Linked DNA regions of Anolis sagrei. The protein of the gene in region 1 purifies or fractionates together with the protein of each later gene. This does not show direct contact. Links are inferred from orthologs where the notes say so. Each region holds a gene or a part of one and is shown on either strand. Other genes may lie near its edges. The genes, in order: PRDX5, PARK7 and PRDX2.

Region 1 (9,719 bases):
TTACTTAGGCGATCCCTCATTGTTCGAGCATGATGGCCTTCCAAGTGTACTGTCTTGGTGGTGGATCCATAGGGGACTGTGGAGCTCCCGCAGTGAGGACATCACTTTCCAGTTGGAAGACGGTCCTCATCATGGTTGGCTTGATGCACCTTCCTCTTGGCACGTTTCTCCCATTTATTTATTTATTTCGAGTATTTCTACCCCGCCCTTCTCAACCCCCAGGGGGGGAGGGGGGACTCAGGGCGGATTACAACCTGCACAATTCGATGCCACATTCAACAAAGTAAAAATATAACAATTATAAACAGTTAAAACATTCAAGTAATACAATAACAACTAAAAAGAATAACCAATCTAGTGGCCAACGTTCACCGAGTTCTAAAATCCGTAAGTCCATTCAGCATTATCCTTTCCAAACTCTGGTCGTCATTGCCTTGTCGGTCTGGCATATTACCCAAAGGCCTGGTCCCATATCCATGTTTTCAACTTCCTTCTGAAGGAGAGGAGGGATGTCGATGACCTAATTTCCCCCGGGGAGTGAATTCCACAGGCGAGGGGCCACCACCGAGAAGGTCCTGTCCCCCGTCCCCACCAGTCTCACTTGTGGTAAAGGACTTAGGCTTGGGCAATCCATGGTTCTAAATGGTTCTAAAGTACTTACAAAACTAAAGTTCTGGTGGTGAAAATTTCAGAACTCTAACAAAACTCTCAAAATTTCATAATAAATGGCAGTTCCTAATTGGTTCTGTCATTAAAATCACCAATAATGAAATAATAATTAAATTTTGAAAGTTTTGTTAGAGTTCTGAAATTTTCACTACCAGAACTTTAGTTTTGTAAGTACTTTAGAACCATTTAGAACCATGCATTGCCCAAGCCTAAAGGTGGGACCGAGAGCAGGGCCTCCCCAGAAGATCTTAAACTCCAAGATGGGACATAGAAGGAGATACATTCGGACAGGTACGCTTTTGCCCTCCATTTGTGCCTCTTCAAATTCCTCAGCACTGCTGGTCACAGCTGACCTCCAGCTGGAGCTCTCAAGGGCCAGGGCTTCCCAGTTCTCAGTGTCTATGCCAGAGTTTTTAAGGTTGGCTTTGAGCCCATCTTTATTTATTTATTTAGAAGTTTTCTATACTGGCCTTCTCACCTCGACGAGGGACTCAGGTCGGTTTACAGCATATATAAAATACAATCATATAAAGAACAACAAGTGCAAAGTCATTACATATTAAAATAGTACAATACAGTACAATAAAACATCATCATCACAATTACCTAAGCCAAATCGTCAATCCAGTCATGGTCATAGTCATACTTGTAGTCACAGTTCATCATAATTCATCACAGGGGGAGGTTCTAGATTCAGTCCTCAAATGCCACATTCCAAATGTCTTTAGTAATTTCCTGAATGTCAGGAGGGAGGGAGCAGATCTGATCTCTAGTGGGAGGGAGTTCCAAAGCCGGGGAGCCACCACCGAGAAGGCCCTGTCCCTTGTCCCCACCAACCGTGATTGCGAGGGTGGTGGGACCGAGAGCAGGCCCCCCCTGGAAGATCTTAATAGCCTTGATGGTTCATAGGGGAGAATCCGTTCGGACAGGTAAACTGGGCCAGAGTCGTTTAGGGCTTTATAGGTCAGAACCAGCACTTTGAATTGTGCACAGAAGCTGATCGGCAGCCAGTGGAGCTGGCGTAACAGAGGGGTCGTATGGTCTCTGTACCCCGCTCCTGTTAGCAATCTGGCTGCCGCACGTTGGACTGATTGACGCTTCCAGGCAGTCTTCAGAGGCAACCCCACGTAGAGAGCATTGCAGTAGTCTAAACGCGATGTAACCAGAGCGTGGACTACTTTAAATCTCTTTTCGTAGGATAATCCTCCAGGGTGGGTCCGTAGGTGGCAATGGAGCCCTATTCTTGACCTGCATCTTCTCCTGCAGCGAGGGCATTGGTTTCCAGGTGAAAAGCGGTCCCAGTTGGGGTTGGCTTGACGCGTCTTCCTCTTGGCATGTTTATTTCTTCCTCCATTCATGCCTCTTCAAATTCTGCAGCACTACTGGTCACAACTGACCTCCAGCTGGAGTGCTCAAGGGCCAGAGTTTTTAAAGAAAAAGGAATGTTGGTGGGAAGGAAAAGAGATTGAAAGATGGGATCAAAGCCAACCTTAAAAACTCTGGCATTGACCCTGAGAACTGGGAAGCCAGAGTTTTTAAGGTTGGCTTTGATCCCATCTTTCAATCTCTTTTCCTTTCCACCCACATTCCGTTTTCCATTCTTGAGATCGGAGTAGAGCAACTGCTTTGTGAGACGGTGGTCGGGCATCCGGACAACGTGGCCAGCCCAGCGGAGTTGATGGCGGAGGACCATTGCTTCAATGCCGGTGGTCTTTGCTTCTTCCAGCATGCTGACATTTCCCCGCTTGTCTTCCCAAGAGATTTGCAGGATTTTCCGGAGGCAGCGCTCATGGAATCGTTCCAGGAGTTGCATGTGACGTCTGTAAACAGTCCTTGTCCTGCAGGCATATTTGAAGCCATAGTTCCGCGTCCTAGTCTTCAAGGAAACAGAAAACAAGTTCTCCCCCTCCTCCCTCTCACATATTTATCCCTGGCCTTCTTCATGTCTTCTCAGGCTATTTAAGCCGCTCCTCATAGGGCTTGTTCTCCAGATCCCTCCTTTTTACTCCACATTTTCGCTTATCCAACGTTCTGCTCTTGGCCCGTTTATGCTGGAGAAGAGACTACTGTACATAATCCCATACAGAAAGGCTTCTCTTCTTCTCGGGCTCTTTAAGCCGCTCCTCATAGGGCTTGTTCTCCAGATCCCTCCTTTTTAGTCCACATTTTCGCTTATTTTCGTTGATGTTGGAGAAGAGACTACTGTACATAATCACATACAGAATGGCTTCTCTTCTTCTCAGGCTCTTTAAGCCGCTCCTCATAGGGCTTGTTCTCCAGATCCCTCCTTTTTAGTCCACATTTTCGCTTATTTTCGTTGATGTTGGAGAAGAGACTACTGTACATAATCCCATACAGAAAGGCTTCTCTTCTTCTCGGGCTCTTTAAGCCGCTCCTCATAGGGCTTGTTCTCCAGATCCCTCCTTTTTAGTCCACATTTTCGCTTATTTTCGTTGATGTTGGAGAAGAGACTACTGTACATAATCCCATACAGAAAGGCTTCTCTTCTTCTCGGGCTCTTTAAGCCGCTCCTCATAGGGCTTGTTCTCCAGATTCCTCCTTTTTAGTCCACATTTTCGCTTATTTTCGTTGATGTTGGAGAAGAGACTACTGTACATAATCACATGCAGAAACTACAATGCACAATAGACATAAATACACACACACAAAATATGGTATTCCAGCCCTTAAGAGGAATGCCTCACACACAGTCAATGCAACTCGAGAAGGGCCTGAGTGAGGCCTAGGCCTGGAATGCCTCCTGAGGAGGCATTCCAGGCCTAGGCCTCACTCAGGCCCTTCTCGAGCCTTTGCCAACTCTAATGACGGCTCCCGGAGGGGCCAAACCGCGTTAACTCTCCGGTGTGGACCCGCCCCGAGGCGACTGACCTTGAGGGCGGCCATGGCTGCTGCTCCGGTCCCGAAATACCGGCCCTTCTGCGCTCCACGGATGCCGAGGAGTGGGGCCTGCACCAAAACAGCCCTGCCTGCCAAAGCCAGCACCCCCGCCCCTCGCCACCCCGTTGCCATGGAAATCGCAGGAGTGACGGCTGCTGCCCTGGCAACCCCGGGCCTGCCTCCCAAGTCTCCCTCTCCCCTCCGGAGGGCGGGTAGTCAGGGGGCGGGGCCAACGCAAGGGGCGGGGCCTGGGGTGGCTCATCTGCATCTCATTTGCATGAAGTACAACCACGTGGAAATGAACACAATCTGCCGACCAGTATTAAAAACCAACCTCTAAAATCAGCATGGTAAATAAAGAACAACGCTCAGAAAAACAGGAAATAATCAGGGCCAGCTAACCTCCCCTGAAAGGATCCTCCCCCCAGGCAGGAAGCAGCCGGGCTTTGAAGCTGCAAGGCTATTCAATGCTAAGGCTTTAAAGCTGTAAGGGTATTCAATGCTAAGGATTCCCCCCAGGCAGGAAGCAGCCAAGCTTTGAAGCTGCAAGGCTATTCAATGCTAAGGCTTTAAAGCTGTATGGGTATTTAATGCTAAAGATTCCCCCAGGCAGGAAGCAGCCAGGCTTTGAAGCTGCAAGGCTATTCAATGCTAAGGCTTTAAAGCTGTAAGGCTATCCAATGCTAAGGATTCCCACATTCAGGAAGCAGCCAGGCTTTGAAGCTGCAAGGCTATTCAATGCTAAGGATTTCCCTCCAGGCAGGAAGCAGCTAGGCTTTGAAGCTGAAAAACTATTCAATCCTAAGGCTTTAAAGCTGTAAGGCTATTCAATGCTAAGGATTCCCCCATTCAGGAAGCATCCAGGCTTTGAAGCTGCAAGGGTATTCAATACTAAAGATTCTCCCCAGGCAGGAAGCAGCCAGGCTTTGAAGCTGCAAGGCTATTCAATGCTAAGGATTCCCCCAGACAAGAGATAGCCAGGCTTTGAAGCTGCAAGGCTATTCAACGCTAAGGATTCTACACGCAGGAAGCAGCCAGGTTTTGAAGCTGCAAAGCTATTCAATGCTAAGGCTTTAAAGCTGTAAGGCTATTCAATGCTAAGGATTCATCCAGTCAGGAAGCAGCCAGGGTTTCAAGCTGTAAGGGTATTCAATGCTAAGGATTCCCCCCAGGCAAGAAGCAGCCAGGTTTTGATGCTGCAAGTCTATTCAATGCTAAGTTTCCCCCATTCAGGAAACAGCCAGGTTTTGAAGCTGCAAGGCTATTCAATGCTAAGGATTCCCCCAGGCAGGAAGCAGACAGGCTTTGAAGCTGCAAGGCTATTCAATGCTAAGGATTCCCCCAGGCAAGTGTCAGACAGGCTTTGAAGCTGCAAGGCTATTCAATGCTAAGGATTCCCCCAGGCAGGAAGCAGCCAGGTTTTGAAGCTGCAAGGCTATTCAATGCTGTAAGGCATTCAATAGCTGTACGGCTATTCAATGCTAAGGATTCCCCTCCCCAGACAGGAGACAGCCAAGCTTTGAAGCCACAAGGCTATTCGATGCTAAGGATCCCCCCCCCAGACAGGAGACAGCCAGGCTTTGAAGCTGCAAGACTATTGAATGCTAAGGATTCCCCTCCGCAGACAGGAGACAGCCAGTTTTTGAAGCTGCAAGGCTTTTCAATCCTAAGGATTCCCCCCCCCAGACAGGAGACAGCCAGGCTTTGAAGCTGCAAGGGTATTCAATGCTAAGGATTCCCCCAGGCTGGAAGAAGCCAGGCTTTGAAGCTGCAAGGCTATTCAATGCTAAGGATTTCCACCCAGGCTTTGAAGCTGCAAGGCTATTCAATGCTAAGGATTTCCCCCCAGGCTTTGAAGCTGCAAGGCTATTCAATGCTAAGGATTTCCACCCAGGCTTTGAAGCTGCAAGGCTATTCAATGCTAAGGATTTCCCCCCAGGCTTTGAAACTGCAAGGCTATTCAATGCTAAGGATTTCCACCCAGGCTTTGAAGCTGCAAGGCTATTTAATGCTAAGGATTTCCACCCAGGCTTTGAAGCTGCAAGGCTATTCAATGCTAAGGATTTCCCCCCAGGCTTTGAAGCTGCAAGGCTATTCAATGCTAAGGATTTCCACCCAGGCTTTGAAGCTGCAAGGCTATTCAGTGCTAAGGATTTCCACCCAGGCTTTGAAGCTGCAAGGCTATTCAATGCTAAGGATTTCCACCCAGGCTTTGAAGCTAAAAGGCTATTCAATACTAAAGATTCCCCCAGGCAGGAAGCAGCCAAGCTTTGAAGCTGCAAGGCTTTGAAGCTGCAAGGAAATATTAGGGTTAGATATGAGAATAATATCATAATAATCGGTTCAGGGAAGTATAGTATAATAATAATAATACTCAAGAATCAATCAAAAATTAGTTCAAAAAGATATAATAATACTCGAGGCATTGGTTCAAGAAGATATAATAATATTGTAATAGTATAATGCTCTAGAAATGGTTCAAGAAGATCTAATTCCTGACACGAAACAATCGGGGCCAGCTAAAACCTCCCAACAAAGGATTCCCCCAGGCAGCAACCAGCCAGGCTTTGAAGCTGCAAGGCCATTCAATGCTAATCAAAGTGGCCAATTGCAACATTCCCACTTGCCTCAAGCAGACAAGAGTTCTTTCTCCCACCCTGGGCATTATTCTACTAAAACAAACAAACAAATAATCATAAATAATTATTATTTTATTGAAACATTTCGTTGATATTATATTTTATATATAGAACATTGTATATGTTATATTAACATTGCATTTTAATATTATATTTATTTATATATTTTATTTCATTTATTTAAATATTTAAATAGTGGGGATGTTGGTTTAAATGAAATATTACAACCCGGAACGGTGTCGCATTTAGATCTGGTTTCCCGTACATTCGATATTAGCGTTGCACTAACTCACCGGAAGTGTGTCGAAATTAGCCGCCGGAAGTGAGAGGAAAAAGGGGGCGTTAGAGCGGTGGAGTGGCGGCACGCATGCGCAGACGGTTTCCCGGCCCGGCCACCGGCGTCGTGCGAGGATGAAGCTTTTGACGCACAACATGCTGACTTCTCACGTGCGGGGCGTGAAGCCCGGCGGCGGCTTCCCTCTTCGCATTCAGGTGAGGGCGGGGCGTTCCCAGGCCACGCCCCCTTGATTAGCATTGAATGGCCTTGTACCTTCAAAGCCTGGTTTCTTCCTGCCTGAAGAAGTCCTTTGTTGGGATGTGTTAACAGGAATAAGCCAGGCTTTGAAGCCGCAAGGCTGAAATAATCTTCAAATCTATGGGGAATTTGGGGCAAATCCTACGCTGTGTTGCTGTGAGGATTTCCAGGTTGCCTGGCCATGTTCCAGAAGCATTCTCTCCTGATGTTTCGCCCACATCTATGACAGGCATCCTCAGAGGTTGTGAGGTTTGTTGGAAACTAGGACAATGGGGTTGATATATCTGTGGTGGGAGAAAGAACTCTTGTCTGTTGGAGGCAAGTGTGGATGCTGTAATTCGCCATCTTGATTATAGCAAAGAATGGCCTTGTATCTTCAAAGCCTAGCTGCTTCCTGCCTGAGGAAGTCCTTTGTTGGGATGTGTTAACAGGAAGAAGCCAGGCTTTGAAGCTGCGAGGCCATTTATTGCTAATCAAGGTGGCCAATTGCAGCATCCGCACTTGCCTCCAACAGACAAGAGTTCTTTCTCCCACCCTGGACATTATTCCCCCAGGCAGAAACCAGCCAGTCTGTGAAGCTGCGAGGCCATTCAGTGCTTATCAAGGTGGCCAATTGCCGCATCCGCACTTGCCTCCAACAGACAAGAGTTCTTTCTCCCACCCTGGACATTATTTCCCCGGGCAGAAACCAGCCAAGTTTTTAAGCTGCAAGGCCATTCAGTGCTAATCAAGGTGGCCAATTGCAGCATCCACACTTGCCTCCAACAGACAAGAGTTCTTTGAAGGTCCAAGGTGAGAGAAAGAACTCGGTGATAGTATGATAGGTGTGTACGGAAGCTCCGAGCGTTACGGAGATGCCGCAAACGCGGCTGGGAAAAGCGAAGAGAGGGAGCGGAGGGAGAGCGGGGAGAGCAAAGGAAGGATAGAAAGGAGGGGATGCTTGGGGTAAGGGTTAGGGCAGGGTTAGGGGTTAGGGTTAGGGGTTTCAAACTGCCAACCTAGCAGTTTATATAATATTATATTAAGGGCCGCTCAGTGGCACAGCGGGTTAAACCGCTGAACTTGCTGACCGAAAGGTCGGCGGTTCAAATCCAGGGAGTGGCGTGAGCGTCCGCTATTAGCAGTTCGAAAAGCATGCAAATGTGAGTAGATCAATAGATCTGGTGAGAAGGTAACGGCGTTCCATGCAGTCATGCTGGCCACCTGACCTAGGAGGACAACGCCAGCTCTTCGGCTTAGAAATGGAGATGAGCAGCAACCCCCAGAGTCGGACATGACTAGGTTTAATGTCAAGGAGAAATCTTTACCTTTACCTTTTACGGTTAGGGTTAGGGTAAGGTTTAGGGTTTGGGTTAGCGTAAGGTTTAGGGTTTGGGTAAGGGTTTGGGTAAGGGGTTAGGGTTACGATTCTGGTATGGTTCAGGATTAGGGTAAGGGTTAGGGTTTCACAATTAAAGAACTCTGGCATTCCTTCTATATTATCTATCTCCGGCCTGGCTTACATTAGCTAATAATAATAATAATAATAATAATAATAATAACAACATTATTATTATTATTATTATTAATTACATTAGCTAATAATAGTAATAATAATTACATTAGCTAATAATAGTAATAACATTAATAATAATAATTATTACATTAGCTAATAATAATAATAATAATAATAACTGCAAAAGGCCACCTGACTTGGATCTGTGCGCATCATTCGAAAATACATCATACAGTCCTAGACGCTTGGGAAGTGTTTGACTTGTGATTTTGTGATACGAAACCCAGCATAGAGATCTCGTTTGCTGTGACATACTGTGCTTTTGTGACAGTAAAATAATAATAATAATAATAACAATAATAATAATAATACATCACACAGTCCTAGACGCTTGGGAAAGGTTCGATTGTGATTTTGTGATATGAAATCCAGCATCTAGATCTTGTTTGTGATGACAAACTGTTTTTGTGTCAGTAAAATAATAATAATAATAATAATACATCACAGTCCTAGACGCTTGGGAAGGCTTCGACTTGTGATTTTGTGATACGAAATCCAGCATAAAGATCTCGTTTGCTGTGACATACTGTGCTTTTGTGTCAATATAATAATAATAATATCACACAGTCCTAGACGCTTGGGAAGGGTTCGACTTGTGATTTTGTGATACGAAATCCAGCATCTAGATCTCATTTGCTGTGACATACTGTGCTTTTGTGTCAGTAAAATAATAATAATAATAATAATAATAATAATACATCACAGTCCTAGACGCTTGGGAAGGGTTCGACTTGTGATTTTGTGATACTAAATCCAGCATATAGCTCTCGTTTGCTGTGATATACTGTGCTTTTGTGTCAGTAAAATAATAATAATAATAATAATAATAATAATAATACATCACACAGTCCTAGACGCTTGGGAAGGGTTCGACTTGTGATTTTGTGATACGAAATCCAGTATATAGATCTCGTTTGCTGTGACATACTGTGCTTTTGTGTCAATAATAATAATAATAATAATAATAATAATATTTTTTTTTCTCTCCATTTTCTTTGCACAGGCCACAGAGGTCAAGGTGAACAATGTCGATTTCAATCCAGAGTTCACTGCCCGGATGGTGCCCAAAGTGGAGTGGGGAGCCTTGGTGGAAGCTGCAGAGAGTGTGAGTCGGGTCCTCCTGCCATTCATTACACTATGTAACAAAATCTGAAAAATTTTCTATTCCCAGTTTGAAAATTTTATTTCCTGTTTAATTGTGTGTTACTTACTTGGAACCCTTTGCTCCATTGTTTCCCATTCTTTAGAACCTCGGATCATTGTTTTACCTTTTTTTTTTGCAGTTGGGTCATCGGTCGGACCTCCCTGCTGAGCCCATCCCTGACTATGAGAGCAATGAGGATTTTCTCCGGAAAGTACATCATGTGTTGATGGAGGTAAGGGATCTCTTCATCGTCCCAGGTTCCTGCATCCTCATCTGTTG
Region 2 (10,404 bases), on another chromosome or scaffold:
AAGGTTGAGAACCACAGCTCTCGGTGGACTAGATGACCCTTGGAACCCTTCCAACTCCAGGGTTCTAGGCTCCTGTCATCTCTCTCTCTCTCCTGCTTACATCTCTCTGTCTGTCTGTCTGTCTGTCTCTGTGTCTCATCGATCAATCATCTGCCTATCTATTTACTTCTATGTATCATTTATCTATTGATCTATCTATCTATCATCTACCTATTAATCAGTCTGTCTCTATGTATCATCTATCTATCTATCTATCTATCTATCTATCTATCTATCTATCTATCTACCTACCTACCTACCTACCTACCTACCTATCTATCTATCTATCTATCTATCTATCTATCTATCTATCTATCTATCTATCTATCTATCTATCTCTATGTACGATCTATCAATCAATTAATCATCTCTCTATTTATCTCTAAGTATCATTAATCTATCAATCTGTCTCTATGCATCAGCTATCAATCTATCTGTCTCTATGTACCATCTCTATGGATCTATTTATCTATCAATCTGTCTGTCTCTATGTATCAGCTATCTATCGGTCTCTTTAGATCATCTATCAATCATCTGTCTATTTATCTCTATGCATCATCTATCTATCTATCTATCTATCTATCTATCTATCTATCTATCTATCTCTATGTATGATCTATCAATCAATTAATCATCTCTCTATCTCTATGGATCTATTTATCTATCAATCTGTCTGTCTCTATGTATCAGCTATCTATCGGTCTCTTTAGATCATCTATCAATCATCTGTCTATTTATCTCTATGCATCATCTATCTATCTATCTATCTATCTATCTATCTATCTGTGTGTCTCAGTGTATCATGTATCAATCATCTATCTATCTATTCTCTATGTATCATTTATCTATTAATCTGTCTCTATCTATCTATCTATCTATCTATCTATCTATTAATCATCTGCCTATTTATCTCTATGAATCATCTATCTATAATCTCTCTGTTTATTTCTATGTATCATTTATCAATTAATCTGTCTGTCTCCATCTATCTATCTATCTATCTGTCTGTCTGTCTGTTTGAATGTATCATCTATCAATCATCTGTCTATCTATCTTTATGTATCACCTACCTATTAATCAATCTGTCTCTATCTATCTATCGATCTATCTATCATCATCTATCTATTAATCTATCTGTCTCTATGTATCATCTATCTATCTGCCTGTCTCTTTATATCATTTATCAATCATCTGTCTATCTATCTCTATTTATCACCTACCTATTAATCAATCAGTCTGTCTCTATGCATCAGCTATCTATCTGTCTATCATCTCTCTATTTATCTCTATTTATCATTTATCTATTAATCTGTCTGTCTCTATCTATCTATCATCTCTCTATACGTATCATTTATCTATTAATCTGTCTCTATCTATTATCTATCTGTCTGTCTGTCTGGATGTATCATCAATCAATCATCTCTCTCTCTATGTATCTCTCTGTCTCATTTATTGGGGATCCCCCAGTAGCGGTGGGTCAAAGCACTGAGCTGCTGAGCTTGTTTACTGAAAGGTCACAGGTTCAAATCCGGGGGGGGGGGGGATGAGCTTCCGCTGTCAGCCCCAGCTCCTGCCAACCTAGCAGTTCGAAAACATGCAAATGTGAGTAGATCCATAGGTACTGCTCCGGCGGGAAGGTAACGGTGCTCCATGCAGTCATGCCAGTGGCCACATGACCTTAGAGGTGTCTACGGACAACGCTGGCTCTTCAGCTTTGAAACGGAGATGGGCACGACTGGACGAGTGCCTGTCTCAAGGGATTGGACGGGAAGATTCTGGGGGGTCCTCCGCCCCTCCCTCGTTCTTTCCCCCCTCTCCTCCCTCCCTCCTTCTCTGTCTATGGGGCAGGGGACCCCTCCCATTCTCTTACTGGAGGGGCTCCTTGGGTCAGGCTGGGTGGGGGCCCCCAGCTCCGGCTGGCAAACCACGTCGCTCTCCTCGGTCCCAGGCGTCTGGATCCGCAGGCCGGGGGGGCACCTGCGGAGGAGGAGCAGACAGGATTTAGCGGGGGGCGGGGGGGGCACAACCATGACTACCAGGGGGGCACGACAACAACGACACACAGGTCCACAGCCACTTAGCCCACTTGGCTGCTTGTATTTTTTTATTACAAAAGTGTGAGTCAAGCACTGTTAGAGTTAGTGAGCCAAATCGAGTGTTGTCCTGAGGAGTGTGAGGTAAACCTCTGTGTGAGAGAAGCCTCGTCTTACAATTCTATTGTTGGTGGGGTCCAGAATGGTCTTTGGTTGTAGGTGAACTATAAATCCTTGCAACTACAACTCCCAAATGACAACATCAACCCCCCAAATCTAGTGTTGTCCTGAGGAGTGTGAGGTAAACCTCTGTGTGAGAGAAGGTCTCTGTGGGAGAAGGGCCTGAGTATGAGAAGGCCTCAATGTTAGTTCACCTCAGTGGGAGAGAGCCCTCAGTGGGAGAGAGCCCTCAGCGGGAGACAGTTCTCAATTTTAGTACTCCTCAGTAGGAGAGAGCCCTCAGTGGGAGAGAGGTCTCAATGTTAGTACGCCTCAGTGGGAGAGAGCCCTCAGTGAGAGCGAGCCCTCAGTGGGAGAGAGGTCTCAATGTTAGTACGCCTCAGTGGGAGAGAGCCCTCAGTGGGAGAGAGCCCTCAGAGGGAGACAGTTCTCAATGTTAGTTCACCTCAGTGGGAGAGAGCCCTCAGTGGGAGAGAGCCCTCAGCGGGAGAGAGGTTTCAATGTTAGTTCACCTCAGTAGGAGAGAGCCCTCAGCAGGAGAGAGGTCCCAAAGTTAGTTCACCTCAGTGGGAGAGAGCCCTCAGTGGGAGAGAGGTCTCAATGTTAGTTCACCTCAGTGGGAGAGAGCCCTCAGTGGGAGAGAGGTCTCAATGTTAGTACACCTCAGTGGGAGAGAGCCCTCAGTGGGAGAGAGCCCTCAGGCTGAGAGAGCCCTCAGTGTAAGGTAGGCCTCAGTGTGAGGTAGGCCTCAGTAGGAGAAAGTCCTCAGTCTGAGAGAGCCCTCAGTGTGAGCAGGCCTTGGTGGGACTCACCGGCTCCAGGGGCGGCAGGGTCCTGAGGTCCCGTTGCTGAACTCCCCTTTGGGGCAGCGTTGGCAGCCGCCTGGCAGAGAAAGCAACAAGGAAGGGGGTGTCACGCAAGGAAGGGGGGTCCCACTGACACCATCCCCATCTCCCCCCCCCCACTGACCTCTGACCTTTCTTGGTGGGCTGCTGACCGTTTGGACAGTCGCACCGGACGCAGGTGTTGCCCCCGCACTCTCTTCCCGGGGGGCATCTGCAGACAGCGTTGGCCTCGGGGCCACAGGGACGCAGGTAGGAACGCCCTTCTGAGGCAGGAAGGAAGGAAGGAAGGAAGGGGGGGAAATGCAGAGGGGCTCACCAATCAATCAATCAATCAATCAATCAATCATAATGATTTTGTTTACACCCCAAGGAAGGACTCACGGTCACAGACGTCACAGGGGAGGCAGCCCTCGAGGGGGTCACGGTAGGAGCCTAAGGCAGGAAAGAAGAAGGTGAGGGGTTCTAAGCAGAGTCCGGATGGCCATCTGTCGAGAGGGGTCAGGTGCGGCCCTAGGGAATTTTCAGTCCCCCAACCAATCAGTGATATATATTTTCTGTTCATCGTCGTGGGAGTTCTGTGTGCCCTGTTTGGTTCAATTCCATCGTTGGTGGAGTTCAGAATGCTCTGTGATTGCAGGTGAACTATACATCCCAGTAACTACAACTCGCATACGTCAAGGTCTATTGCACCCCTGGGCAACATCAACTCTACCGCGACTGCTTACTTTGCGTAAGGGTTGCGCCGCCCCTGCCTCCCTGGCTTGTTTACATGGGTAAGGCTCCATGTCCCTTCGGGTCGCCTCTGCTGGCGTTCCTTAAGTAGAGCCTGGATGGCCATCTGTCGGGAGGGATCGAATGGTACCTTCCTTTAGGGCAGAAAGGGGTGGGACTAGATGGCCTTGAGGGAGCCCTGGAGAGAAATATACTCTGGGTGTGTCCCCTTCCCTGGAGGCTTTGAAGGAGAGGCTGGATGGCCATCTGTCAGGAGGGATCGAATGCTGCCTTCCTTTAGGGCAGAAAGGGGTGGGACTAGATGGCCTTGAGGGAGCCCTGGAGAGAAAAAAACTCTGGAGGTGTCCCCTTCCCTGGAGGCTTTGAAGGAGAGGCTGGATGGCCATCTGTCAGGAGGGATCGAATGGTGCCTTCCTTTAGGGCAGAAAGGGGTGGGACTAGATGGCCTTGAGGGAGCCCTAGAGAGAACTATACTCTGGAGGTGTCCCCTTCCCTGGAGGCTTTGAAGGAGAGGCTGGATGGCCATCTGTCGGGAGGGATCGAATGGTGCCTTCCTTTAGGGCAGAATGGGGTGGGACTAGATGGCCTTGAGGGAGCCCTTCCAACTCTAGAGATAACTATATTCTGGAGGTACCCTCTTCACTGGAGGCTTTTACATAATGGGCTGGATGGCCATCTGTCGAGAGGGATCGGGTGGGTAAGGCTGGATGCCCTTTAGGGACCCCTCTGCTGGGTTTTTTTTAATTGAGTCTGGATGGCCATCTGTCGGGAGGGATCGAATGGTGCCTTCTAACTCTACAGAGAAACATACTCTGGAGGTGTTCCATTCTCTGGAAACTTTTCAAAGAGAGGCTGGATGGCCATCTGTTTGGGAGTGATCGGATGGTGTGCTTCTTTGTGAGGTCTCTTCCAACTCTAAGATCCTATCTCTCTATTATTATTATTATTATTATTATGCAGAGACCATCTATTACACTATCTATTATCACTATTATTATTATTCAGCAGAGGCTGGGTGGCCATCTGTCAGGAGTGATTGAGTGGTGCCTCCCTCCCTGAGTAGTTTACATGGGTCAGATGGCCTTTAGGGACACAGTACTTTGCTGGCATTCCTTTCTCTGTAGGTTTCTAAGCAGATTTTTGGATGGCCATCTGTCGGGAGGGATCGAATGGTGTGCTTCTTATTCAGCAGAGGCTGGGTGGCCATCTGTCAGGAGTGATTGAGTGGTGCCTCCCTCCCTGACTGGTTTACATGGGTAAGAACAGATGCCTTTTAGGGACACAAGAGAGAAATATACTTTGCTGGCATTCCCCTCTCTGTAGGTTTCTAAGCAGAGGGTTGGATGGTCATCTGTCGGGAGGGATCGAATGGTGCCTCCCATCATTATGATTATTATGATTATTATTAAATGGCTGTTAGGGCCCCAACTCTATGTAGAATTATATTTTGGGTGCGTCCCCTTCCCTGAAGTCTTTGAAATAGAGTCTGGATGGCCATCTGTCGGGAGAGATCGAATGGTGCCTTCCACTATTATGATTATTATGATGATTATTATTATTATTATTACTAAAGGGCTTTTAGGGCCCCAACTCTATGTAGAATTGTATTCTGTGTGCGCCCCCTTCCTTCCCTGGAGGCTTCGAAGTAGAGCCTGGATGGCCATCTGTCGGGAGAGATCGAATGGTGCCTCCCATTATTATTATTATTATTATTATTATTATTACTACTACTACTACTACTAAAGGGCTTTTATGGCCCCAACTCTATGGAGAATTATTATACTCTGGACGTGTCCCCTTCCCTGGAGGCTTTGGAGTAGAGTCTGGATGGCCATCTGTCGGGAGGGATCTAATGGTGCCTCCTATTATGATTATTATGATGATTATTATGATTACTAAAGGGCTTTGAGGGGCCCAACTGTATGGAGAATTATTATCTTCTGTGTGCGCCCCCTTCCTTCCTTCCTGCCTTCCTTCCTTCCTTCCCTGGAGGCTTTGAAGGGGAGCCTGGCTGGCCATCTGCGGGGAGGGATCGAGTGGTGCCTTGGTTGAGGGCAGAAAGGGAGGGACTCACCTTCCGGGCAGGGGAGGGCGCCCACCCGCAGGAGCATCATCATCATCAGCAGAAGCCGCACCTCCCTCCCCAGCATCATCTTCCAACCGAGTGGGACCCACTCCGCGGGCGGGGGCCCTTTAAGGGGCGCGCGTGGGCTAAAGGGGAGGTCCTTCTCCCAGGAAGCCCCGCCCCTACTTCAAGGCCACGCCCCTTCAGCTGTCTCTCGCGCGCGGGGGAGGCGTGGCTTCGTGCCTGCCTCTAAATCCCCGCCCCTTTCTCTGTGGCCCCGCCCACTCCCGAGCCAGCGGAGGTGCGCATGCGCAGTTGAGAGGCCAGGCCTGAGCGGAGCCTGAGGGGCAATCCGGGCAGGAAGGTCCGCCATGGCTTCGAAGCGGGCGCTGGTGATCCTGGCCAAAGGCGCCGAGGAGATGGAGACCGTCATCCCCACAGACCTCATGCGCAGGGCAGGGGTGAGGCCCCCTCGGAGGGAGGGAGGGAGAGCGAGAGAGGGCCGCAGCACACTGCGCATGCGCGCCCAGGGGAACTCGAGGGGAGAGGGGGCCGCAGGCCACTGCGCATGCGCGCCTGGGAAAGAAGCCAAGCTTCCTTGGGAAGATCTATTTTTGGAGGTTGGAGGGTGGCCATCTGTTGGGAGGGCTCTGACTGTGCGTCTCCTGCCTGGCCGAAGGGGTGGGACTAGATGCCCTTTGGGGGTCTCTTCCAACTCTAGAGAAGTATAGGCTGGAGACCTGTGTGTGTGCAAATATAGTGTATATAGAGTGTTATTATTATTATTATTATTATTATTATAACTTTATTTGTCCCCCGCTAGCATCTCCCGAAGGACTCGATGCGGCTTACACAGGCCAAGGCCTCAAAACACAACATCACAATACAACACCTAAAGCAAATCAAAAACAGTTAAAGAAATATTAAACAACAAGCAATAAACAATACACCGAGACACAATAAGACTGGGCCGGGTCAGAGTAATGGGTACAGGATTAAAAGTGCTGCTGTGACAGGTGGTCTGTAAGGCTTATAGGGCAAATGCAATGTGCAATGTGCAGTAATCTTTGTTTCTTCTAAAGTACTTCTGGGACTTGGTATTGGAGTTTTCCTATTCGGGGAAGGCACATCAGAACAGCCAGGTCTTCAAGTTCTTCCTAAAGACTGCCAGCGAAGGGGCCTGTCTAAGATCTTTGCGGAGGGAGTTCCAGAATCGGGGGGCCACCACGGAAAAGGCCCTGTCTCGCGTCCCCACCAAACGCGCCTGCGATGCAGGCGGAATCACGAGCAGGGCCTCTCCGGATGAACGAAGTGAACGCGTGGGTTCATAAACTGAGATGCGGTCACACAGGTAGGCTGGTCCCAAACCGTTCAGGGCTTTGTAGGTGAGCACCTGCACCTTAAATTGGGACCGGAAAATAAACGGCAGCCAGTGGAGCTCCCTAAACAGGAGAGTTGACCTCTCTCTGTAAGGAGTCCCAGTTAGCATCCTGGCTGCTGCCTGTTGGACCATCTGGAATTTCCGAGCCGTTTTCAAGGGCAGCCCCACGTAGAGTGCATTGCAGTAGTCCAATCTGGAGGTGACCAAGGCATGGACCACTCCGGCCAGATCCACCTTCGCGAGGTATGGTCGCAGTTGGCGCATGAGTCTCAATTGTGCAAAAGCCCTCCCGGACACCGCTGACACCTGAAGCTCAAGCGTAAGCGATGAATCCAACAGGACTCCCAAACTGCAGACCTGTGGCTTCAGGGGGAGTGTAACCCCGTCCAGAACAGGTTGCCACCCTATACCCCGGTCAGGTTTGCGATCAACCAGGAGGACCTCTGTCTTGTCGGGATTGATCTTCAGCTTGTTCCTCCTCATCCAGACTGTCACAGCAGTCAGGCACTCGTCCAGCACTCAAGGGGCCTCCTTGGAATTAGGTGGAAAAGAGTCGTAGTGTCATCTGCGTAGAGGTGGCACCCAACTCCAAAACTCCGGATGACCTCTCCCAGTGGTTTCATGTAGTTGTTAAAGAGCATGGGAGACAGAATGGAGCCTTGCGGGACCCCACAGGTCAAAGGCCAGGGGTCCGAGCAGGCATCTCCCAGCTTCACTATCTGGGATCAACCCTCCAGGAAGGACCGAAGCCACGACAAAACCGTGCCCCCGAGACCCATCCCAGAGAGTCGTCCCAGAAGGATACCATGATCGATGGTATCGAAAGCCGCTGAGATGTCCAAGAGAACCAACAGGGTCACACTCCCCCCGTCCAGATCTCCCAAGATTCCTTGGGAGTCCCTCCGGATCCATCATACATAGTATTAACTTTATTTGTACCCCACTAACATCTCCCGAAGGACTCGGTGCGGCTTACATAGGCCAAGGCCCTCAATAAAACAACAGCATAACAAATACACAATAATATATATATATGTCTATATAGTACATGAAGTGTATAAGCAGTGTTTACATATAATAGGTATAGTATCCACCCATCTCTCTGTCTTTCTTCTTTCTCCCCCAGATCTCGGTGACCGTGGCCGGCCTGGCGGGGAAGGAGCCCGTCCAGTGCAGCCGCGACGTGGTCCTGTGTCCGGACAAGAGCCTGGACGAGGCCCGCAAAGAGGTCGGTCCTTCCAAGGAACAACCCAGTCGAAAAAGACCCCGAAGAGGGCCACCCCGCCCTCCCCTTCTGCTTTAAAGGCACCCTCCTAACAGCCATAGATATGAAGGGGGTCTGCTCTGTTATATGACTTGTCTATCATAGAATCCCCGTGTTGGGAGAGAGTAGAGGCCGGGTGGCCACCTGTCGGGGGTCAGAATGGATGGCCCTTGGGGGTCTCTTCCAACCCGGGAAGCCTTGCCCGCTGACTTCTCTTCTCTCCTTTCCTTCAGGGGCCGTACGACGTGGTGGTCTTGCCGGGAGGAAACCTGGGGGCCCAAAACCTCTCAGAGGTAAGCAGGGGCCAATGAGAAATACATTAAAAAGGTTATTATTATTATTATTGTCTTGTTGAAGCCTCTTGTTTATTATTTATTTGCAACCTTTCTATGCCGCCCTTCTCACCCCGAAGGGGACTCAGAGCGGCTTCCAAGGTATAGATTACATACAATATCTTATACAGGGTTAGTCAAACTGAATAGGCCACAGTAGGTTACAGTAAACATACATATTGGCCTATTCATTTTGACTAACCCTGTATTATTAGCGCAGTACAATATCAGCATTACACATTGCTATATTGCACCATAACACTATATCGTAATATGATCAGTAATATTAATTATATTAATATTAGTATGATGGCTTATCCAGGCATATCTTATTAGTATAGTACTGTATTTATTATTATTTTGGTATATTATATTATTTATTATTACTAATAATATTATGTTAAATATATTAATATTAGTATGATGGCATATCCAGGCATATCTTATTATTATAGAGCTGTATTTATTATTATTATTTTAGTATATAAGAGAAGGAAGGAAGAAGGAAAGAGGTAGAAAGGAAGGAAGAAAGGAGAGAAAGAGGAAAAGGAAAGGAAAGAGGGAGCAAAGAAAGAAAGAGAGAGAGAGAGTGGGAAGGAAAGACGGAAGGATGGAAGCAAAAAGGAAGGAAGGAAAGAGGCAGAGAAGGAAAGAGAAAGAGGAAAAGAAAAAGGGGGAAGGAAAGAAAGAGGTAGAGAAGAAAGGAAGGAGAGAAGGAAAGAAAAAAGAAATGAAGGAAAGAGGAAGTGAAGGAAGGAGAGAAAGAAGGAGGGAAGACAGAAGGAAGGATGGAAGCTAAAAGCAAATGAAGGAAGGAAAGGGAAAGGAAAAGAAAAAGGGGGAAAGAAAGAAAGAGGCAGAGAAGAAAGGAAAGAGAAGGAAAAGAAAAAGAAATGAAGGAAAGAGGAAGTGAAGGAAGGAGAGAAAGAAGGAGGGAAGGAAATATGGAAGGAAGAAAGGAAAGAGGTAGAGAAGGAAAGAGAAAGGAAAAGAAAGGGAGGGAGGAAAGAAGTAGAGAAGGAAATAGAGAAAGAAGTAGAGAAGGAAGGAAAGACAGAAGGAAGGATGGAAGCAAAAAGCAAAGGAAGGAAGGAAAGAGAAAGAGGAAAAGAAAAGGGAAGGAAAGAAGGGTAGAGAAGGAAAGAAAAAAGGAAAGGAAAGAGGGAGCAAAGAAAGAAAGAGAGAGGGAAGGAAAGACAGACGGATGAAAGCTAAAAGCAGATGAAGGAAGGAAAGAGAAAGAGGAAAAGAAAACAAGGGAAGGAAAGAAAGGTACAGAAGAAAGAAGGAAAGTAAAAAGGAAATGAAGGAAAGAAAGAAGTAGAGAAGGGAGAAAGGGAGGGAAGGATGGAAGCAAAAAGTGAAGGAAGGAAAGAGAAAGAGGAAAAGAAAAGAGGCAGAGAAGAAAGGGAGAAGGAAATGAAGGAAAGAGGAAGTGAAGGAAGGAGAGAAAGAGGTAGAGAAGGAAGAAAGGAGAGAAAGAAGGAGGGAAGACAGAAGGAAGGATGGAAGCAAAAAGCATAGGAAGGAAGG
Region 3 (10,147 bases), on another chromosome or scaffold:
GATTTCTATATAGTTTAGCTCAAGCTGCTTGCAAAATTCTCCAAAGAATCGTGACTCATTCAGTATTTTGGCAACTTCAGAAAGAGGTCCAGCTCCGTTATGCATATTAAGCAACCCCAGCATCTATATTGGAAGCCCTATTGCTCCAAAGCAAATTATTCTGGAGTATGATGTTGAATGGGCATTAAATATTCCCCAGCCTTGCAAAAGGCCTACTTGTGGTGGAGACAGGAACCGCTAGGACTAGTTTGTTGACTTTTCACTTCACTCGTGTTGGGAAAAGATTTCCCACCGTGTTAGCAACTTGGGACAGAAGAAAAAGGAACATTATCACCACCAGGAATCGTTATGCTGGAAAGCGCTTTGAGAAACTGCACTGATGAGAAAGAACTAATAGACAAAGAGGGTGCCTTGACACTGTAAAATTAATGTAGTTTGATACCTATAGAATCCTAGAGTTGGAAGAGACCTCGTGGGCCATTCAGTCCAACCTCATTCTGCCAAGAAGCAGGAAAATTGCATTTAAAGCACCCCCAACAGATGGCCATTCAGCCTCTATTTAAAATCCTCCATAGAAAGAGCTTCTGCCACACTCCGGGGCAGAGTGTTCCACTGCTGAACAGCTCTCACAGTTAGAAGTTCTTGCTCATGTTCAGGTGGAATCTCCTTTCCTGTAATTTGAAGCCATTACTCCGCGTCCTAGTCTCCAAGGCAGCAGAAAACAAGCTTGCTACCTCCTCTCTATGACTTCCACTCACATATTTAGACATGGCAATCATATCTCCTCTCAGCCTTCTCTTCTGAAGGCTACACATGCCCAGCTCTTTAAACTGCTCCTCATAGGGCTTGTTCTCCACACCCTTGATCATTTTAGTCGCCCTCCTCTGGACACATTCCAGCTTGTCAACATCTCCTTCAATTGTAGTGCCCAGAATTGGACGCAGTATTCCAGATGTGGTGTGACCAAGGCAGAACAGAAGTGTAGCATGACTCCCCTGAATCTAGACACTAGACTCCTATTGATGCAGGCCTCTTTAACTGCAATTTATTTATTTATTTATTTATTTATTTATTTACCTTACTTATATACCGCAATGGCTCAATGCTATGGAGAGCTGTAGTTTCTCAAGGCTTTTAGCCTTCTCTGTCAAAAGTGCTGATGACTCAACAAACAACAAATCCCAGGGTTTTAGAGTACTGAGCCAGTTGTAGTGGTGTCAAACTGCATTAATTCTATAGTCTAGATACACCCAAAGTGACTTTGGTTGGGCATCCCAAAGTCAGAACTAGACCAACATCCAAGACTCTTTCTTCCACAATCCTCTCCTCTGTAGCAGGTGGTTTGGGTGCTGGACATGTGGCCCATAGTTTAGTCTTGTCTCAAAATATCCAACACATTTCAGAGCTAAAGTCTTTATCACAATACACTATTATAGCAGTATATTCAATTTTAACTACCAAGGTAACATCTCGAGGAAGTCTGGGGTTTATAGTTTAATGGGGTCCAATAACTTTCTGGGCTGTAAATGCCTACCAACTGCAAATCCTAGGATTCCACAAGATGCTGTCGCAGCAGTTAAATTAGTGCAACAACAGTGCAGTGTGCTATGAAACTAAGCTGTGGTGCAACCCTATCTAAGGCTTAAGTGCAACAACCTAGGCCTCATCAGTGAGTGGCAGGCCCCTGCTCTTTAAATCCCTTAAAGAGAAAGGTATTTTGACAGCCTTAGATAACAAACAAGTAATCTCAAGATGGGGAGAGGGGTGTTGCAAAAGCCTTTATCAGAGTCCTCCAGATCAAGGAGGAGGCTTTGCAGAGTAATCTAACAGCCCCTACCGGCTTAAATGGGTGAAGTCTGGAGGAAGACAAGGCAACGCCATTGTGTGCTTAATCCGATCTGCAGCTACTGGCACAGCCAGTGTGAACAAGGCAAGAAATGGGGAGATTTCACTGAATTGTGACTCTAGTTTTGAGCCTGAAGGATAAGGAGATAAAAAATCCAGGGGTGATTTTCTTATTTATTTATTTACAGTATTTATATACCACCTTTCTCACCCCTGGGGGGACTCAAAGCTGTAACAATGCATAACCTCATTCTACACCAGGCATGGGCAAACTCTGGTCCTCTGAGTATTTTGGACTACAACTCCCACCATTCCTAACAACCTACTTGCTGTTAAGAATTGTGGGAGTTGAAGTCCAAATACCTGGAGGGCCAAAGTTTGCCCATGCCTGTTCTACAGTTACATTAATATAAATTGGCCCCACTTTAAGTGCCATGGCTCAATATTACAGGAGTCGTGGTTTTACAAGGTCTTTATACTTCTCCTTGAAATAAACTATGATTCCATGGCATTGAGCCTTGGCAATTAAAGTGGTATTGAACTATATTAACGCCATGGTGTAGATGCAATCCCAGACATCAACCCACACTTGATGCCTTTGTCCAACTACTCCACCATCTAACCCAGGCATAGGCAAACTTTGGCCTTTTAGGTGTTTCTGACTTCAACTCCCACAATTCCTAGCAGCCTTGGGCCCCTTTTCTTTCCCCCCTCAGCTGCTTAAAGGAAAGGGCCCGATCTTCTGCTAGGAATTGTCGGAGTTGAAGTCCAAAACACCTGGAGGGCCCAAGTTTGCCCTTGCCCGATCTAACCCATTTGAGATAAAGAGTCCCAAAGGGGCCCCATTTCCATTCATCTCTTTCAATAGTACTTGAAAGTGTCCCTAACCCAACTGCACACCTGAAATTTTTGTTCTGCACTTTCAGTTAAAAAGAATGCAAGAATTCAATCATTCTCTCAAAGCTCTGTTTCAGGGCCTTTTCAATGAGCTTAAGAGCTTAGACACCTTGCCTGGAGCCCCAAGGGGAGTAGCTTATTCGTAGGAGCAGTATTCAATGAGGGATTCAGATTAGGAGTCCTTCTACACTAGATATGGGCAAACTTGGGCCCTCCAGGTGCTTTGGACTTCAACTCCCACAATTCCTAATAGGCTGTCCAAAACACCTGGAGGATCCAAGTTTGCCCATGTCTGATCTACACTGTGGAATAGATGCAGTTTGACTCAAAAGCTATAGGTGTTGCACTTTCACAAGGTCTGGCTGCATCACCAAAGCACAAATCCCAGGATTCCATAGCATGGAGTCTTGGCAGTCCAAAGGGTGATCAAACTGCATTAATTCGGCTGTGTGGATGCACCCTACAAGAGAGCTTTTGCACGTGCGGCCTGGGCGTTGGAGAGAAAGGAGCTATAAAAGGAGGACCCTTAGTAAGACAGCTTAGCAGCAAGGAGGCCTTCCCCGCCTCCTCCTCGAAACGAAAGGAGGGCTACAAAAGGAGCACCACCAGCCTCGCTTTTTTGCAAAAGGAGGGCCGCCTCCGAAAGCCCCCCCTCTTCCTCCTCCTCCTCTGTCTCCTCTTTGAGACAAAGGCGTACGAGGCCTGGCTGCCAGGAGGAGCAGCAGCAGCAGCCCATTCTGGCGTCACGCGCTGGAACTGAAAGGCCGGTCCACGCGGGAAACGAAGACCCAGCAAAGTCGGGAGAAGAAGGCGGATGGCAAAGGAAGGCCCTTCACAGGCCCACCGCCAGGCCTCTCGGAGGGGACGCCTCGCACCTCGGAACAATGTACCTGCAGCCAAGCCCCTGCACTGGAGCAACCGCCCATCCACGCCTTACCTCACTCAAGCCGACTTCAAAAGACACCCGGCGAACCTGGACCACTCCTGGCGCAGGAGGAGGCGGCGGCCCTTTTATAGCAAGCGGGATGGCAGGGGGTGGGCGGGGCTTGGGGCCGGTGGGCGGGGCCTGAGCCAGGCCCCTTCACGCGGCGCACGCGACCCAAGGGATGGGTTGGGATCCTTGGGGGACAAAGCCAGCAGCACCTGTGGAATTGCACCCAGGGTGCAGCACTGTAGCATGAATGCAATTTGTGCACCGCCAGGGCTCAATTCTATAGCATCCTGGGGACCCTTCCACACAGTGGAGAGCAAGGATTCCCCGAAATACAAGGGCAGAAGGCCACTATACACCAAAAAGTAATGCAGTTATATATAATCAGAATAATGTATATCATATCTATGCTTATAGTACTATAACATTAAATGTACTAGCATCTCGTACAAAGTATACTTCATGTAATTCTATAAACCAAAAAAATTCCTTATGTGGGATAAACAACTAATTCTTACAGCAAAATGAACAAGTTTGTAGGTTCTTTTTGAAACCAAAGTTTGTCAACAGCAAATCAAAGTTTATCAGTCCTTTTGAAAACCAAAAAGGACCTACAATACACTTCTCAATAACAAATCAAAGTTTGCAAGTCTTTTTTGCAAGTCTCTTAATCCAGAACTTCTTGATGTGAGTAAACAGCTGATTCCTACAGCAGAATGAACAAGTTTGTTAGTCCTTCTTTAACCAAAGTTTGTCAACAGCAAATCAAAGTTTATCAGTCCTTTTGGAATCCACAGTTTATAAACCACAACCGGTTTTGACTACGTGAAATCTTCGTCAGGTGATAGTTGATACACGTAGAAATCCACAAATAGTCAGTTTTACCAAGTGGAGAATTCTTCAAGTAGAGTCAGTATATTAATGTCAATAATGATGTGGTCCTAAAGTGAACAAATATGAGTGGCTAAAACACATAGTATACGAGAGCAATTACCAAATGTTGTGAAAGCATACAGAACAGGAACAAAAAATATTCACATAAGTTCTCCTACAAAAGTGCTCTGCTATTAATATGATTCTATGGCAAGCCCAGGAGAAACAGGTAGAAACTCCAGGATATATAGAGAAACTTAAAGTATATGAAGAGAAATTTAAAAGGGCCTGGTATAGCTATCAGTGTGGATGTATCCCAGTCATCAACAGTAAGTTACTCATAAGAAAAAACCTGTTTAAAGAGGCATGCACCGGTTCACATAAAACACTGAAATGAAATGGAATCGTTTAGTCCCTTAGGATGCACAGTTTTAAGAGTAAAAATCCAGAAGGCTTCACATTGTTGTAGTCTAGTAGATAAATCTGTGTTTGAGGAGGATGTAACCACCTCTAGAACTAGGACCTTGAACGATTCAGGACTATGGTTCATTACATTTGAATGTTTATATAGGCTTGAGATGCTGTGAGAGACATGCCCACAAGTTCTACTTTGGGCCCTTCCACACAGCCCTATATCCCATAATATCAAGGCAGGAAATCCCACAATATCTGCTTTGAACTGGGTTATCTGAGTCCACACTCAGATAACCCAGTTCAAATCAGATATTGTGGGGTTTCCTGCCTTGATATTATGGGATATAGGGCTGTTTGGAAGGGCCCTGGAATATGTCATTTTACAAGGTCTCTGCTAAAGAATGCTGGTACCTCACCAAGCTACAAATCCCAGAATTACATGGCATGGAGTCCTTGCAGTGAAAGTGGTGTCAAGCTGCATCCATTCAACAGGATAAAAGCACCCCTAAGGCCCTTTCACACAACCATATTACTAAGGACCCTTCCACACAGCCTATTATCCATGAATATCAAGGCAGAAAATCCCACATCTGCTTTGAACTGGAATATATGGCGGTGTGGATTCAGATAACCGAGTTGAAAGCAGATATTGTGAGATTTTCTGCCTTGATCTTCTGTTTTGTATGGCTATGTGAAAGAGCCCTAAGGCCTCTTCCACACAGCTGAAGAAAAACCCACACTATCTGCTTTGACCTGGGTTATATGGCAGTGTGGACTTGGAGCCCTTCCACACAGCCATATAACAAAGAATATAAAGTGTGACAGTGTGGACTCAGATAACCCAGTTCAAAGCAGATATTGGGGGATTTTCTGCCTTGATATTCTGGAATACAGGGCTATGTGGAAGGGCGCCCAGAATAACAAGGCAGAATAACCCACAATATCTGCTTTGAACGGGGTTATCTGAGAACCCTTCCAGACAGGCCCTCTATCCCAGGATCTGATCCCAGGTTTTCTGCATTAAACTGGATTATATGAGTCCCCACTGCCATATAATCTGGGATAAACAGAAAATTTAGGATAGGTCCTGGAATATAAGGCCTGTCTGGAAGGGCCCTGAGTCCATGCTGCCATATATCCCCGTTCAAAGCAGATAATGTGAGATTTTATTCAGCTGTGTGGAAGGGTTAGGTTAGTTTCTACTAACCCAAACTGTATTGCGATAATGAAAGGCATTCAACAGGTCAAACTCAGCATCACTTTACATGTCTAAGCTGAAGTGTTGGACTTTAGCCCATGATGCTAAATTTCCTTCTAGAAACAATGGCAGCCTCATCCATCACCTCTGGTTACGGATGCCTTGTACATCTTGACCCAAATGCTACTAGGTACTCTTTACAAAAGCCCCTTCCACACAGCTGTATAAAATCCACATTGAACTGAATTATATGGCAGTGTGGACTCAGATAGTCCAGTTCAAAGCAGATATTGTGGATCATCTGCCTTGATATTCTGGATTATATGGCTGTGTGGAAGGGCCCTAAGTATCTCTTGCCTAAGAAAACCCTGTGAAATCCATGGGGTCACCACAAGATGACAGTCATCTTTACGGTACTTCTACAAGGAACTCAGAACCATTGAATAATTAGTAGAGCAGTGAGTCAACTGACAGCCCTTCCACACAGAATATCGAGGCATATAATCTACAGTATCTGCATTGAATTGAGTTATATATCTGAGTCCACACTACCACATATCCCAGTTCAAAACAGAAAATGTGGGATTTTATTCAGCTGTGTGGAAGGGACCAGAGGAACCCCGCTGATTAAGGCCCCTTCTTCACTGCCATATAATCCAGATTATCAAAGCAGATAATCCACACTATCTGCTTTGAACTGCCATATAATCCAGTTCAAAGCAGTTAATCTGGATTATATGGCCGTGTAGAAGGGGCCTCAATGGATCTACACTTGTTGACACTAACAATAGCATTTAGGCGAATGTCTGCTCGGTATGCTCAGAAAACTTCATCAGCTGGATTTCGTTTGAACAAAAGTATAAGAGACTAGCCAGGAAAAACAAAGAAAGGAACCTTACACAGAGAGTCATTCATACCTCTGAAATTCCATGCATGCAAGAAATGTATGGGGGTAACACCTTTCTTGAGTTCTCTCCCATGGATTTGTTGTTGGTATGTGCCTTCAAGTTGAGCCTGACTTGTGACAACCCTAATATAGCATTTATGTGGCAAGATTTATTCAGTTGCTTTGTGAAAAATTACCGCCATCATTTTTATGTTGTGAATTTTAAAACAATGCTGTGGGTGCAGGGTAGGGTAGCAAAAGAAAAACATGCTTCAGTAGTTAATAATCTGCCTTGTATTGAGAAAATCTCAGTTCAGAGCATTTCTTGCCTCTAAAACCTAATAGGATCTCAGGGGAACAGGGCCAAAAAGAGCTTCTACCAGCCAGAGTAGGTTTCATGCTTGGTCTAACAGCTTCATAGCATCATCACAGATGAGACTTGTCAGAGACAACACAGATGAGGCATGTTATCTAGATCCAATTCAGTTTGGTTTCAGGCCCAGCTGTGGGAGAGAGATGGCTTTGATGCCTTGTTGGATTAATGTGATACATATGGGGGAGTGTGGTTTAGTTGGTACTGTTAAAACTCTTGGTTTGCAGTGCCATTGACTGTGTTGATCTCTATAAGGGCCTTCCACACAACCCTATATACCAGAATATCAAGGCAGAAAATCCCACAAGATCTGCTTTGAGTGTGGAAGCAGATATTGTAGGATTTCCTACTTTGATAATCTTGGTTATAGGGCTGTGTGGAAGGGCCCTGGGTTGAGTCTACACTGTCATATATTCCAGTTTAAAGCAAATAATGTGGGATCTGTCTATCTTCATGACCTTATCTTCCCCTACGAGCCCACGTGGTCTCTAAGGTCTTCTGGGGAGGCTCTTCTCTCACTCCCACCTCTGTCTCAGACATGGTTGGTGGGGATGAGAGAAAGGGCATTTTTGATGGTGGCCCCTCGTTTCTGGAATTCCCTCCCCAGGGGGATCAGGTTAGCACCCTCCCTATCCACATTTTGTAAGAAACTAAAAACACGGATGTTCCGTTGTGCATTCGATTGACAATCTCTTTGACAAATGATCCCTTTGACAGATGGCCTGAAAAGAAGTTCCTGTATTTGATTAATGTATTTTTAAGCTGAAATGATCCTATTACAACTGCTGTATTCCTATGCTGTGATATGTTCTATCCATCTTTTTGACCAGCCTATTCTCCAACTTCTTTGTACACCAGCTCCCCCCCCCCCCCCCCCCCCCCCGAGACTAGAAGTATTTCTGGTTGTTGCTTATGATGTCTGTTTATTATTGCTTACGATGTTCGTTGCACACGCTTTTAATTTTTATTTGCCTTGTTTTAATTGTATGTTTTTTGGGCTTGGGCCCATGTAAGGCGCCACGAGTCCCTTCGGGGAGATGGAGGTGGGGTAGAAAAATAAAGTTCTTCTTCTTCTGTGTGGAAGGGGCTTTAGTCAAAAGGGCAGGTCAGGTGATTGGGATTTGAATTGGGTCTATGGAATCGCATCATATTCCCCTTGGAAACTCAGCTTCAGTCTGACCCTGGTCTCATCTACACTGCCAGATAATCCAGGTGATCAAAGCAGAAAATGCACATTATCTAATTGGAACTGGATTATTTAGGCCCCTTCTACATAGGTGTATAAAATCCAGATCAGATAATGTGGATTTTCTGCTGTGATAATCTGGATTTTCTGGCAGTGTAGAAGGGGCCTTAGGGCCCTTCCACACAGCCATAAAACCCAGAATATCAAGGCAGAAAAATCCCACATTTTCTGCTTTGAACTGGAATATATGGCAGTGTGGACTCATAACCCAGTTCAAAGCAGATAGTGTGGGATTTTATTCAGCTGCGTGGAAGGGGCCTGTAACTCCATTTCAATAGTAGCCAGTGTTAGAAATGACCCCTCTGAGCCTATGATTAATAAAACTCTGGACAAGACATTTTTGGTGAAGTAGCAAATTTTGGCAACCTTCAATTCTTCCAGCATTAACAGCCTGCTTTTATCCAAATCTAATTTCTTCCTTTGCCTGACCTGCCTTTAGTTTCAATTATGATCCATTATTCTCTTTTCCTGTAGATTGTCTGTGTAATATCTGCGCCTCTTTATCTATAATTGGTCAGCTACTTCCTACTGTAGACAACCAGGCAGACTAAACCAGGCCTGGGCCAACTTGGGCCCTCCCTCCGGGTGCTTTGGACTTAGCTCCCAGTGTTCCTAACAGCTGGTAGGCTGTTACAAATTGTGGGAGTTGAAGTCCGAAACACCTGGAGGGAGGGCCCAAGTTTGCCTATGCCTGTTCTACAGGACCCGAACAGCATCTCTGCTTCTGCACTGGCTGGACCGCACTTAGGTGGCGCAGCATCTTTGCTCCACGAACTACGACTCCCAGAAGGCTGTGCGCTGCCTGCGCTCCTGCCTCTCCGTTTCCGGTGCAGGTTCCCCCTCGGCGTTTCCTTGGCGCGCGGCTCGGAAGATGGACCTGGGCGCCTTCGAGGAGGACAACGCGGTGAGCTGCCTGCTGGGCTCCTCTGCGCCCGCCGCCTGCCGCGCCCAGCCCTGCTGCCTGGGCATCGATGAGGCCGGGAGGGGGCCCGTGCTCGGTAAGGGGAGCCTTGCAGCCCAGGGAGGGAATGTTTTGGTCCAGCAAAGAAATGCACGAACAAGGAGGCAGGCAGGTCTTCGGGCGCATCTGCACTGTACAAGTCATGCATTGGACCCCACTTTCACTGCCGTGGCTTCATGATGTAAAATCAAGGGAGTTGTGGTTTTACAATCTGTAGCCTTCATTTCCAAAAAGTGCTGGTGCCTCACTAAACTACATCTCCCAGGATTCCATAGCACTGAGCCATGGTAGTCAAAGTGGGATCAAACTGCATTATCTCTACAATAATAATAATAATAATAATAATAATAATAATAATTATTGCTGTAGAGATAATGCATGGATCCAACCAGTCCATACTTCAGGAAACAAAGCCTGACTGCTCATTGGAGGGAAGAATAGTAGAGGCCAAGATGAAGTACTTTGGCCACATAATGAGAAGACAGGAAAGCTTGGAGAAGACAATGATGCTGGGGAAATGGAA

Evidence for each region.
Region 2: the proteins of PRDX5 (region 1) and PARK7 fractionate together in Homo sapiens (co-fractionation; 3 studies listed by BioGRID). This does not show direct contact. The link is inferred for Anolis sagrei from reciprocal best matches to the Homo sapiens genes PRDX5 and PARK7.
Region 3: the proteins of PRDX5 (region 1) and PRDX2 fractionate together in Homo sapiens (co-fractionation; 3 studies listed by BioGRID). This does not show direct contact. The link is inferred for Anolis sagrei from reciprocal best matches to the Homo sapiens genes PRDX5 and PRDX2.

What each region holds. Positions count from the first base shown.
Region 1 is NC_090032.1:16,791,950-16,801,668, reverse strand, and holds the start of PRDX5 (peroxiredoxin-5, mitochondrial), read right to left. Parts: upstream 3,783-9,719; 5' UTR 3,700-3,782; coding exon 3,559-3,699; intron 1-3,558. Other genes in the region: TRMT112 (multifunctional methyltransferase subunit TRM112-like protein), read left to right, coding at 6,618-6,698, 9,300-9,401, 9,580-9,672. UniProt on the Homo sapiens protein: Thiol-specific peroxidase that catalyzes the reduction of hydrogen peroxide and organic hydroperoxides to water and alcohols, respectively.
Region 2 is NC_090033.1:20,478,723-20,489,126, forward strand, and holds the start of PARK7 (Parkinson disease protein 7), read left to right. Parts: upstream 1-6,187; 5' UTR 6,188-6,265; coding exon 6,266-6,355; intron 6,356-8,401; coding exon 8,402-8,503; intron 8,504-8,772; coding exon 8,773-8,832; intron 8,833-10,404. Other genes in the region: TNFRSF9 (tumor necrosis factor receptor superfamily member 9), read right to left, coding at 1,910-2,016, 3,065-3,134, 3,229-3,360, 3,479-3,529, 5,904-5,982. UniProt on the Homo sapiens protein: Multifunctional protein with controversial molecular function which plays an important role in cell protection against oxidative stress and cell death acting as oxidative stress sensor and redox-sensitive chaperone and protease.
Region 3 is NC_090022.1:111,619,684-111,629,830, reverse strand, and holds the start of PRDX2 (peroxiredoxin-2), read right to left. Parts: upstream 3,793-10,147; 5' UTR 3,680-3,792; intron 1-3,679. Other genes in the region: RNASEH2A (ribonuclease H2 subunit A), read left to right, coding at 9,535-9,661.